Macaca mulatta: one gene and its partners. The protein of the gene in region 1 purifies or fractionates together with the protein of each later gene. This does not show direct contact. Links are inferred from orthologs where the notes say so. Each region holds a gene or a part of one and is shown on either strand. Other genes may lie near its edges.

Evidence for each region.
Region 2: the proteins of GAPDH (region 1) and SIAH1 purify together in Homo sapiens (affinity purification with western blotting; 4 studies listed by BioGRID). This does not show direct contact. The link is inferred for Macaca mulatta from reciprocal best matches to the Homo sapiens genes GAPDH and SIAH1.
Region 3: the proteins of GAPDH (region 1) and PGK1 fractionate together in Homo sapiens (co-fractionation; 4 studies listed by BioGRID and IntAct, with this or other methods). This does not show direct contact. The link is inferred for Macaca mulatta from reciprocal best matches to the Homo sapiens genes GAPDH and PGK1.

The regions. Positions count from the first base shown.
Region 1 is NC_133416.1:7,484,318-7,488,600, forward strand, and holds the start of GAPDH (glyceraldehyde-3-phosphate dehydrogenase), read left to right. Parts: upstream 1-1,483; 5' UTR 1,484-1,526; exon of another isoform or gene 1,527-1,618; intron 1,619-1,795; 5' UTR 1,796-1,812; coding exon 1,813-1,841; intron 1,842-3,516; coding exon 3,517-3,616; exon of another isoform or gene 3,617-3,639; intron 3,640-3,697; coding exon 3,698-3,804; intron 3,805-3,926; coding exon 3,927-4,017; intron 4,018-4,107; coding exon 4,108-4,223; intron 4,224-4,283. UniProt on the Homo sapiens protein: Has both glyceraldehyde-3-phosphate dehydrogenase and nitrosylase activities, thereby playing a role in glycolysis and nuclear functions, respectively.
Region 2 is NC_133425.1:43,776,374-43,780,588, reverse strand, and holds the start of SIAH1 (E3 ubiquitin-protein ligase SIAH1), read left to right. Parts: upstream 1-1,415; 5' UTR 1,416-1,600; coding exon 1,601-1,691; intron 1,692-4,215. UniProt on the Homo sapiens protein: E3 ubiquitin-protein ligase that mediates ubiquitination and subsequent proteasomal degradation of target proteins.
Region 3 is NC_133426.1:84,348,999-84,352,960, reverse strand, and holds the start of PGK1 (phosphoglycerate kinase 1), read right to left. Parts: upstream 2,801-3,962; 5' UTR 2,685-2,800; coding exon 2,620-2,684; exon of another isoform or gene 2,465-2,619; intron 1-2,464. UniProt on the Homo sapiens protein: Catalyzes one of the two ATP producing reactions in the glycolytic pathway via the reversible conversion of 1,3-diphosphoglycerate to 3-phosphoglycerate.

The DNA.
Region 1 (4,283 bases):
TGCTCTGGGTGGTCATTGTGAAAAGCCCGCACCAACCATGCCAATGGCAGCCAGACGAGGACACAGCCTGGTTCTGGGTCCCAGGAGGAAAGGCAATCCCAGAAAGACAGGGACAAGGACTGGAGTCCTGTGGGTGCCTTTTAAGCAAAGATTATCACCAGGCGGGCTAAACTTAGCAAACGGCTTTTAGCTAGAAGGGCAGGGGGCTGGTGTCAGGTTATGCTGGGCCAGCAAAGAGGCCCAGGATCCCCCTCCCATGCACCTGCTGATGGGCCAAGGCCACCCCACCCCACCCCCTTCCTTACAAGTGTTCAGCACGCTCCCATCCCACACTCACAAACCTGGCCCTCTGCCCTCCTACCAGAGAAATGGATACCCTGTGGGAAGGGGCAGGGGGCCTGTTCCCACCATGTGCCCAAGACCTCTTTTCCCACTTTTTCCCTCTTCTTGACTCACCCTGCCCTCAATATCCCCCAGCGAAGCCAGTGAAGGGGAGTCCCTGGCTCCTGGCTCGCCTGCACGTCCCAGGGCGGGGAGGCACTTCCGCCCTCACGTCCCGCTCTTCGCCCCGGGCTGGATGGAGTGAAAAGCACACTGTCTCTCACCCTAGGCAGCACAGCCCACGGGGCTCCAGGAGTGACTTTGTGGGAGGCCTCTGGGCCCCCACCAGCCATCCTGTCCTCCGCCTGGGGCCCCAGCCCGGGGAGAGCCGCTGGTGCACACAGGGCCTGGATTGTCTGCCCTAATCATCAGGTCCAAGCTACAGGGCTGCAGGACATCGTGACCTTCCGTGTAGAAACCTCCCCCTCAAGCCGCCTCCCGAGCCTCCTTCCTCTCCAGGCCCCCACTGCCCAGTGCCCAGGCCAGGCCTCGGTCCCAGAGAGGCCAGGAGCCAGGAGATGGGGAGGGGGAAGTGGGGGCTGGGAAGGGCCCACGGGCCCCTCCTAGCCCTTTGCTTCAGCTATTCCGGTGTCACTACCGCAGAGCCTCGAGGAGAAGTTCCCCAACTTTCCCGCCTCTCAGCCTTTGAAAGAAAGGGGAGGGGGCAGGCCGCGTGCAGCCGCGAGCCGTGCAGGGCTCGGGCTCCAATTCCCCATCTCAGTCGCTCCCAAAGTCCTGTTTCATCCGTGCGTGTAAGGGCCCCCGTCCTTGACTCCCTAGTCTCCTGCTGCCCACACTCCAGTCCTGGGAAGCAGCACCGATCACCTCCCATCGGGCCAGTCTCAGTCCCTTCCCCCCTCCGTCGGGGCCCACACGCTTGATGCGTGCCCAGTTGAACTAGGCGGCTGCGGAAAAAAAAAAAGAGCAGGGAGAAAGCAGGGCCCCGCTACTCGCGGTTTTACGGGCGCACGTAGCTCAGGCCTCAAGTCCTTGGACTGGGACTGGCTGAGCCCGGCGGGAGGCGGGGTCAGAGTCACCGCCTGCCGCCGCGCCCCCGGGTTTCTATAAATTGAGCCCGCAGCCTCCCCCTGCGCTCTCTGCTCCTCCTGTTCGAGAGTCAGCCGCATTTTCTCTTGCATCGCCAGGTGAAGACGGGCGGAGAGGAGCCCGGAGGCTAGGGACGGGCCTGAAGGCGGCAGGAGCGGGCGTGGGCCGGACGTGTTCGCGCCGCTGCGGGGTGGGCGCGGGCCAGGGTCCGGGTCCGGGCCCGGGCTGCCTCCGCATTGCAGGGGCGGGCGGAGGACGTGATGCGGCGCGGGCTGGGCATGGAGGCTGGTGGGGGGAGGGGAGGGGAGGGGAGGCGTGGGTGTCGACCGGGACCACTAGGCGCTCACTGTTCTCTCTCTCCGCGCAGCGCATCCCTGAGACACCATGGGGAAGGTGAAGGTCGGAGTCAACGGGTGAGTTCGTGGGTGGCTGGGGGGCCCTGGGCCGCCCGCAAACTGCGTCTACGAGCCTTGCGGGCTCCGGGTCTTTGCTGTCGTATGGGGTAGGGTAGCTGCGTCCGGCAAGGAGAGCTCAAGGTCAGCGCTCGGACCTGGCGGAGCCCCGCACCCAGGCTGTGGCGCCCTGTGCAGCTCCGCCCTTGCGGCGCCATCTGCCCGGGGCCTGCCTTCCCTAGTCCCCAGGAACAGGAGGTCCCTACTCCCGCCCGAGATTCCATCCGACCCGGACCCCTAGCTGGGGACGCTTTCTTTCCTTTCGCGCTCTGCGAGGTCACGTGTCGCAGAGGAGCCCCTCCCCCATGGCCTCCGGCACCGCAGGCCCCGGGATGCTAGTGCGCAGCGGGTGCATCCCAGTCCGGAGGCTGCGCCTGCGGTAGAGCGGCCGCCATGTTGCAACCGGGAAGGAAATGAATGGGCCGCCGTTAGGAAACCCTGCCGGTGACTAACCCTGCGCTCCTGCCTCGGTGGGTGGAGTCGCGTGTGGCGGGGAAGTCAGGTGGAGCGAGGCTTCCCGGCCCCTGCTCTCAAGTCGGCCCCTGAGCTGCAAGCCCTATTTCCCCTCCGGGTGATGCTTTTTCTAGATAATTCTCTGGTAAATCAAAGAAGTGGGTTTATGGAGGTCCTCCTGTGTCCCCTCCCTCCAGAGGTGTGGTGGCTGTGGCTTGGTGCCAAGCCGGGGGGAGCTGAGTCATCGGTAGTTGGAAAAGGACATTTCCACCGCAAAATGGCCCCTCTGGCGGTGGCCCCTTTCTGCAGCGGCGGCTCACCTTATGGCCCCCCTCTTCCCCTGCCAGCCTAGCGTTGACCCCACCCCAAAGGCCAGGCTGTAAATGTCACCCGGAGGATTGGGTGTCTGGGAGCCTCGGGAAACCTGCCCTTCTCCCCATTCCGTCTTCCAGAAACCAGATCTCCCACCGCACCCTGGTCTGAGGATAAATATAGCTGCTGACCTTTCTGTAACTGGGGGCCTGGGCTTGGGCCGTCTCCCATCCCTTCTCCCACACACATGCACACACCTGTGCTCCCACTCCTGAATTCTGGAAAAGAGCTAGGAAAGGACTAGAAGCTTGCAAATTAAAGCCCTGGGACTAGGGGGTTAAAAAACAACTTCCCCTCTTCCCCCGGCCCAATCTCTGTCCCTTTTGTAGGCGGGTCTTAGAGAAGGGGTGGGCTTGCCCTGTCCAATTAATTTCTGACCTTTATTCCTGCCCTTTGAGTTTGGTGATGCTGAGTGTACAAATCTTTTCTCCTTAAACGGTGCAGTTTGAGGCTGAGCTAGGCAGCAGCAAGCATTCCTGGGGTGGCATAGTGAGGTGCTGAATGCCACGTGCAAAGCTTGTGCCCAGACTGTGGGTGGCAGTGCCCCACATGGCCGCTTCTCCTGGAAGGGCTTCCTATGACGGGGGGTGTTAGGCAGCAGTGGAGCCTTCAGTTGCAGCCATGCCGTAAAGCCAGGCCAGCCTGGCAGGGGAGCTCAAGGGAGATACAATTCACCTCTTAATGGAGGTAAGGAGATGTTGGGGGTAAGGAGATGCTGCATTCGCCCTCTTAATGGAGAGGTGTCCTAGGGCAGCTCACATACTGTGGAGAAGCCTCCCCTCCTCATGCCTTCTTGCCTCTTGTCTCTTAGATTTGGTCGTATTGGGCGCCTGGTCACCAGGGCTGCTTTTAACTCTGGTAAAGTGGATATTGTTGCCATCAATGACCCCTTCATTGACCTCAACTACATGGTGAGTGCTGCCCCAAAGCTGATGTGGGAGGAGCCACCTGGCTGCCAGGCAGCCCCTTCACACCCTTGCGTATTCCCCCAGGTTTACATGTTCCAGTATGATTCCACCCATGGCAAGTTCCATGGCACCGTGAAGGCTGAGAACGGGAAGCTCGTCATCAATGGAAGCCCCATCACCATCTTCCAGGAGTGAGTGGAAGGCAGTGGGAGAAATGTGCTGTGGGGGGCAGCTAGGGTGGTGCGGCTCCCTTGGGTACATGGTAACCTCGTGTCCCTCAATATGTCCTATCCCTGTCTCCCCCACCCCATAGGCGAGATCCCTCCAAAATCAAGTGGGGCGATGCTGGCGCTGAGTACGTCGTGGAGTCCACTGGCGTCTTCACCACCACGGAGAAGGCTGGGGTGAGTGCAGGAGGGCCCGCGGTAGGGGAAGCTGGCTCAGCCCTGCAGAGGCAGAACCCGGGTTTATAACTGTCTACTTCTCTGCTGTAGGCTCATTTGCAGGGGGGAGCCAAAAGGGTCATCATCTCTGCCCCCTCTGCTGACGCCCCCATGTTCGTCATGGGTGTGAACCATGAGAAGTATGACAACAGCCTCAAGATCGTCAGGTGAGGAAGGCAGGGCCAGTGGAGAAGCGGCCAGCCTGGCACCCTGTGGACACGCTCCCC
Region 2 (4,215 bases), on another chromosome or scaffold:
GAAAATTAGCGAGAGTGGTGGTGTCAGCCTGTGGTCTTAGCTACTGGGGAGATTGAGGTGGGAGGATTGCTGGAGCCCAGAAGACCCAGGCTGCAGTGAGTGTAGATTGTGCCACTGCACTCAGACCTGGGCAACAGTGAGACCCCGTCTCAAGAAAAAAGAAAAAAAAAATAGTTCTGGCACGACTGTGTCTATTTTCAATTATATTTCTTTTCCTAATGTTGTTTTGTGTAGCCTGTATTGTAAAATGAGGTTGAGGTGATTGGACACACTGTTAATAGAGTGAGGAAGTGGGTAGAGTTAAAATTTCTTGCTGAAAGTGGGTAATCTGCAGTTCCTTGCATTGGGTTCACTCCTCACTGCCAGCTCTTGCTGCATTTGGAGGCTGCCCTAAGCATGATGTAATGACAGGTTAAACCTCTGCACGCACTAGCTGATGCAATGCAAATCTGAGGCCCAGGACTTTATTGGGGCAAGGGTAATGCTTGTTTAAAAACAAAACAAGCTACTCTGTGTTTAATGAGGCCATTTAAGATGGCTTTCCCAGAGTGGGAAGAGTATAATCTCTTAGGAGGTTTAAGTAGGAGTTTAATGTGGCAGAAGTGTGCTTACAACTTTTCCTGCGAAGTCTTTTCACAGCGGGGAAGGAGAGTTTAAAATATAGTGCCCATAGGAGTAGAAATGAAGTGAGCTAGAATTGAGTAAATATGGTAGTTGATGCCCGGTAAATAGCTGTTGAATGAATTAAGGAGAATGTTTTCACTCTAAAAATTAAGTTTGCACGATGAACCGGGAATGTAGCGCCGGTGTGGGCACGCATTTCCCAGATACGCCAGATACGCTGTAGCTCTTAGATCGAACCGTGAGAAACTGCCGATATTCGACTGTTGTGACCTACCGAAAACAGCATGGTTCTACCTAATTTTAAACTGGTGGAAATGCTGAGGAAGGCTCGATGTCGCTGGGGTGGGATGGGGTCAACAGCGGGGTGGCGGGGCCCCGCCCTGGGCTGCGGGGCGGGGCTTGCGGGCACAGCCCCACCCCTGCGCGAGCAAGACGGGCACCGCCCTGCGCGCTGCGCGCCCTGAGCTGGCCCTGGCGCCCCGGGTTGGAGTGGGCGTTCCCAACGCAGGCCCAGCCCCGGCCGAGGCTCCAAATGGCTCTCCAGCAGGCAGGCTTCTGCAGTAGCCCCTGAGCTGGCTCAGGGAGCGCACTTCCTTCGCAGTGAGCGCGTCGCCCCCTGCATCCCCGGCCTCCACCGGAGCTGGGGAGCTGGGCAGTAGCCTACGGAGTGAATCTGGAGAAGACAAACTTGGGAGACAGACGAAAGCTTAGGGCACACTGGAGGACAGCGCAGCTGTGGCTCCCATTTTTGGAGATGCAGCCGAATTTGAGCTCACAGGGAGGTGTGGTTGCCTCCTGGGGATGGGAAGGCTTCCTTTCTCCACCTCTGTAACTCGTGCTTCTGAGAAGTAAATGGATATTTGGATCCTGACCTCAGACGCGAATTTGGGTCTTCTGTGCTTAGGAGCAGAAAGTGCCCAGGAGGGGCCTGTTCCTTTACTTCTTGGGGGAAACGCAATGCGCGGCCTGACTTCTCATGACGGGAAAGGCTACTCCACCTTCTCTGTACTCCTGGAGGGGAGTCTTGTTCACATGTTTACCAGCGGCCAGGACAAGGAAGAGAAAAGGTATTGACATTAAGAGGATAGGTTGCTGAGGCTATGAAGCTTGAACGCTATTAGTCAGTGGAACCTGTCTGGCTTAGGGAATGGCTGCAGCAGAATCCAGCCGTTTCCGAGGTTCTCAGTCATGTTTCATTTGGGTTGCTGTGCTTTTTTATGTTTAAATCAAACTTCAGGTTACGTCATGACTTCTGCAGGGCTGTCCTTAGTTCCTACTGCAGGGCGGCTGTGTGGTTGGGATTCCTTTTCTGTTTCAAGATGGAGCTGGGTTCCACCCTTGGAGCTTTGAGAGGCTTTAGCAGTTGCTGTCCTGTAATACCTCCATTCACAAGAAATACCGTTCACATTTCAGTTCTTTTTCACACTTTGAATAGGAGTTAAAATGTGCTTTCTATAGTGTTTGGAAAATGGTAAAGATGTATTGTGAGCCTGAACTGTTGATGATAAATGTATAACTATTGCTAGGTCAAGAAATTGTGAACAACAGTGTTTTTCTCGGTCTCTAGCTATGTTGTGTTAAATATAAACTGAGTTTACTGCCCTTGGATGTGATTCCTTGGTTTGGTTTAGTAATCTGAAAGGCATTGGTTGACTAGACTGTTTTGTGCCCAAGGAACCACTTTGTAATTGTTATGCTGCTTACTGAAGTAAACTGGACCATGCAGTAGGCATACAGCATACAGCCAGGGTGTTTTGGCAATACTGAGCCCACTGTTTTACAAGTGACATAAAATGGATGTCATATGTACAAAGAATCTACTCAGAGGGAAACTGGATTACAGGAGAGCTCCTTTATAGTCCTTTGTCAGGGGACAGAACACCTGGGTCACACTGGGCTTCAGATGAGAGTTGATTCATGTTCTGAGTCCGTATGATGAGACACATTATGATGGAATTCTGTCACTTTTGTTGCCTCTTGAACTTTAAAATATCCTTTTAGTGATGTGGAATTAATCTTTATTTTTCCTTCACCCTAAGCCCTCATTTAAGCTATCAGTTGGTAACCACTTGGGTAATCTAGAAACCAAGTTGCATTTACTTGGTCACATTGGTAACCAACATTGTTTCTTAAAAGTTCCCTGCAACAGAATAATGACTATAATTGAATTAAAACATTAATTTTGAAGCTTTAATTTTGTAATATGGCTTAGTGGCCGGGCGCAGTGGCCAATGCCTGTAATCCCAGCACTTTGGGACGCCGAGGCCGGGGAATCACGAGGTCAGGAGTTTGAGACCAGCCATGGTGAAACCCCGTCTCTACTAAAAATACAAAAATTAGTCGGGCATGGTGGTAGGCACTTGTAATCCCAGCTGCTTTTGAGGCTGAGGCAGGAGAATTGCTTGAACCTGGGAGGCAGAGGTTGCAGTGAGCAGGCACCATTGTACTCCGGCCTGGGCAACAAGAGCAAAACTCCATCTCAAAAAAAAAAAAAAAAAAAAAAGAATATGGCTTAGTAGAGTTACTAGGAGTGCACTCTTAGGACATCGACTGATCTTTTTTTCCACCCCCAAGACAAATAGTGGCCTGCAATATCCCAGCCCAGGTAGCTTCCTGGGAAAAGTTGCTTGTTTTATGTTTGACTCAGCTTGACTAGTTACATTGTCGATTATTTCTTCCAGATGACATTTACTTGTTAAATAACGTTGATTACTCTGCTGATGAATGTTTCAGCAACGCTGGAGAACCCTAGGCTGCAAGGGGTTCTTCACCTGTTGACTTCATCCCCCACCCCCAGTATGGTATATTATCTCTGCCGTGCTATCATCTTTATTCTTTCCTTTTTCACTGTCTCTTCCTGACTCTCCTCCTTTGTTCATTATGTCTGATACATATTGTGGATTGAAAGTGGAACAGAAAGATGTACTTTCTCTACCAGACTAAAAAGTTTTGAGATGGCCCTCCATTTCTCCTATGTCTCCCTTCACCTTTGTTGTGTGTTTATTTTTATATTTTTGCTACCTTCACTAGCGAGTACATCCCCTCACTCTTGAGGTGAGCACTAATCAGTAAGAAATAAGATTAATACCTGGCTGATGATAATTTGGGGGGAAGACTTAATTAGGTAAAGATGGATAATGGGATGGCAGCAGACCTTTCCCCTTGTGACCCCTCCCCTCATTCCCAAAGTACACCTCTAGAGTAGATAATGGCTTACCATTAAGAAGAGTTAATGGAAGGTTCTCTGATTCTTTGGCATTGGAACTACACTTGTCCCGCGGTATCCTCGGAAGATTAGTTCTAGGACCCCCTTCCCCATACCAAAACCTGAGGATGCTCAAGTCCCTGATAGAAAATGGTGTCGTATATGTATGTGCATATTCTCCTGTATAATTTAAATTATCTCTGGATTACTTAATACAATGTAAATAATACGTAAATAGTTGTTATAGACTGTATTTTAAAAATTTTGTATTATTTGTAAATTTTTCTGAATATTTTCAATCCATGGCTGTGGTGAAGTCCTTGGATGCAGACCGTGTGAATACAGAGTGCCGATTTTATCCAGGACTTCACCTGTAACTCCCTATA
Region 3 (3,962 bases), on another chromosome or scaffold:
ATATTGTGGGTGTCTTAAAGACTTTTTCTCTGCTCTCAATTTTTTCCTGTTTCTCTTCCTACTACATCAAAGCAGTTTCTTTACAAGTTACAACAGGCTGGAGAAAACCAGTGAGGTTTAAAAAAAAACAGGCAGGAGCAAGCAAAAAGGAAGTGCAAGCAAAGGATGACTGGCAACCTATGAGAGAAAGAAAGGAAATTACCACAAAAATAAGCAGAAGTGTATTCAAAGAGGGTGTAAAGTCAACTGGGGAGTCCTAAAAAACTAAGATGGAACCTGGTAATTAACAAGTCAGAGGTTTCTGGCTACCCTGTTTTCCTTCAACAAATCAATTTCCCTTGGCAATCCAAACCAGTGGACCAGAAGAGTCAGCAAATACCAGAGTTCACTTCTGCAGGACAAAGACGACAAATGAGGCAGCCACTACTCAACTCAGGAAGCCCCACTCCGGAAACACTGCCAGCAACCACCACGTTGAAACAAAAAAGAATTGAGCTGACACCACGTGGCTGCCTAGGCACCTCCAAAAAAGTAGGCCTACAATGAAACTCTCTGTTCAAAAGAAATACATTAATAATCAGGGAACGATGTAACTTCCTGTCCTCAGCCTAAATAAGAAGGTATCCAGATTACAGGAGAAAGGTCTATTTCAACGTATCCTTGGTCATTGTCTCGAATATCTAGCTGATATTGTCTCGAATATCTAGCTGATCTAGAGGATCTAGCTGATAGCCAAGGAGACCCAAATTCTACTCCCAGCTCTGCCACCACCACCTTAGTAGTTCAGTAACCCTGAACAGGTCATTTTCCATCGGCAAAACATGACTAGCCAATCATTTCAAGGCTTTGGGTTGGTGTGTGCTAAATGAAACTTTATTAGGTCCAGAAGGAGAAAAGTTAAGCAGCTCCTACAATCCCACCCCCAGCTAGCTTCTTCAAGCCAGTTTCCCTACAGAGAGAGGAAATAAAGCCCAAGACTGCAATTATAGGAAGGTTATCCGCATGATGTCCCACTCCTTGTCTTTTAGTTGGTCCATGCATCTGGAAGAATCAGCCTCGAACACAGGGGAGATGCAAGGAACTAATTAAAACCTAAAAGCTAGTTGCATGCCAATGTCCACCTGTCCTGTTTTTTACAGGGTCTATCCCCTTTTATTAGGATTATATGAGGGCCAGAAAGGGCACTCTTCTAGTACTAACATGGCTGTGATTCCTACTTTGTCCAGATTGCAAAGGCCTATGCCATTTGGGGAAATGTGGAAATCAGGTATTTTTCATGGACATAAATTATTGGGTTATTCTATCTCCACAGCAGGGCAGAGGTTACCTGCAAAGTAATACTGACCAAAGTGAAATTAGAGAGAAGGGGAGAGCTACATGTACTCTTAGAGTACCCATACACTTCCCTAACTCAAACGTGTCCTCGCATGTTTAAAGTTAAAGGGAGATCTCCTATTGACTTATGTGTCTGTTAATATCCAACACAAGCCCTCATTTGAACCAGCCCAAATTGGAAAAGGGGCTAGATTACACCAGCCACATGCCTACCCATCAATCAACCACTTCCCAAAAAGGTCAAGGTTGCAAAATGCTATCAACAGAAACCTTTATGACCCCTCAAAAACACCACTCTTGGATCCTGTTAAGGTATATGAACAGTCAAGTCCATCAGTTACATACCGACTCATCCTCCTGCACCTTGCTCCTGGCATGCACAAATATACCACACGTGACAAAAAGGATAAAGGTAAAAGCTCCACACTATACCAACAATTCTGGCAGATAAGAGAGAAGCCGTGTTGGCAAGTGACCAGAGATCAACATGAGCAGAGTAAGACACCCAAAGTGCACAAGGAACCTTCCCCCACTTTCAAAATTCTGCTTTTCTAGCCACACGTGGGGATGAGGTTGGAGGCCAGCAAGTATGAGCAGCCACACCCTGCTCTACCATTACCTAGTATGTCACAATCCTGATGCAAATCCTGTGCCCAAGAGTCCAACGATACCACGCTGCAGGGCAGCAGAAGCCTATTACATAAGCTCTGCAGGGCCTCCTCCGGTGCGCCCCGCCCTACCCTCCCACCCCAATTCTTTAGGGGCGGGGGACTGGGGGGTCTACTCCTGAACAGTTAAATCAACATCCTCTTGGAAAGATATCTTTTTGTGCAGGGACCTGTGAGATGTGGGCCGTTTCTCATTTGTCTGCGACGGTCTAGGAGTGTGGGGGAAGGGAAATTAACAAAATGACCTTTCAAGGTCCTTCCTTGAAGCCTAGAGATTTGCAGGATAAGCATTAAGTCTCATCTCGCCGATTGGGAGGTGGAGGCAACGGAACTGCATTTCACCAATAGGAAAAAGGACAAAATGGGTCCCAGCAGCAATCTCAGCCCTTCCTTAGTGGGACCCATCCCCGAAGGGGGTTTCGGCTGCTTTCTGGGCTGCAGAAAATGCGGCTAGAAACCACCAAACCCGTGAGCAGCCTCGCCCTCCAAGCCTAGGACCCGTGGGGCCCAGCCAAAAGCAAAAAGCGACGTAGAGCAGACGAGAGAACAAGTCGGCTCAGGCCAAAGAGGTTTGCGACAGAGCACAGAGGCCACGCGGGCAAACGTGCAGAATTACCTCATAACGACCCGCTTCCCTTTAACATCCAGCTTGTCCAGCGTCAGCTTATTAGAAAGCGACATTTTGGAAATACAGCTGGGAAGAGAGGTCGGTGATTCGGACAACCAGGGAGCCTACCGCAGACGTGCGCTCGAGAGACGAGAAGAATGCCGAACACCACGCGGGCAGGAACAGGGGCTGCACTGCCGCCCCACACCCCGCCTCCCGCACCGCCCCTTCCCGGCAGCTGCTCCCGGCGCGCCGTGCAGAGCAGCCGCTATTGGCCACGGCCCATCGCGGTCGGCGCGCTGCCATTGCTCCCTGGCGCTGTCCGTCTGCGAAGGTACTAGTGAGACGTGCGGCTTCCGTTTGTCACGTCCGGCACGCCGCGAACCGCAAGGAACCTTCCCGACTTAGGGGCGGAGCGGGAAGCGTCGCCAAGGGGCCCACAAGTGAGGCGGCGAAGATCCGGGTGACGCTACGAACGGACGTGAAGAATGTGCGAGACCCAAGGTCGGCGCCGCTGCGTTTCCCGGAAACGCGCCCGGAGCAGCCGCAGCCCAGCGTAAGCCCAGGACTGCCTTGGAAAAGGCGCCACCCCCAATCCCGTGGAATTCGCAGCTGCCCTGCCAGGATTAATGCAAATGCCACCTCCTTTTAGAAAATCTTGGTTTCCCAGCTCCCTTCATGGAATTCTGCTACTTAAGGCTTGCTTAATAAGAGACCTCTCATAAGTTGGAAAAGGCCCAGGTCCACTCTGGCCCCCACCTTTTTAAAAATAAAAATGCAATGTAATTTTTTTGGTTATGGCATGATGGATGCTAATGGCAAACAGATATGGCATTTTTCGTGTATTAACCAAAGCTCACAAAACGCAGAAGTGACTACTTTCATCCTCATTAGGCAAATGAAGTAGCTGATGCACAAAGAAGTTTAGTGGGCCAGCCGCCTTGGCCCAGGCCTTTAATCCCGGCACTTTGGGAGGCCAAGGCTGGCGGATTGCTCGAGCCAGGTGGATCGAGATCAGCCTGAGCAACATAGCAAAACCCCATCTCTACTAAAAATACAAAAAGTTAGCTAGACGTGGTGGCGGGCACCTGTAGTCTTGTTACCTGTGGGGGTGTCCAAATTCTTGGAGCCTTGAACTAAGAACTGGACAAAATGCACAAAGCAAGGAAAGAATTAAGCAATAAAAGCAGAGATGTATTGAAAACGAAAGTGTAACCGCCCAATGGGTTCACTTTGTCCGCTGCCTAGACAGAGCTGATTTATCAAGACAGGGAAATTGCAATGGCGAAAGAGTAATTCACGCAGAGCGGTTGTGCGGGAGACCAGAGTTTTATTATCACTCAAATCAGTCT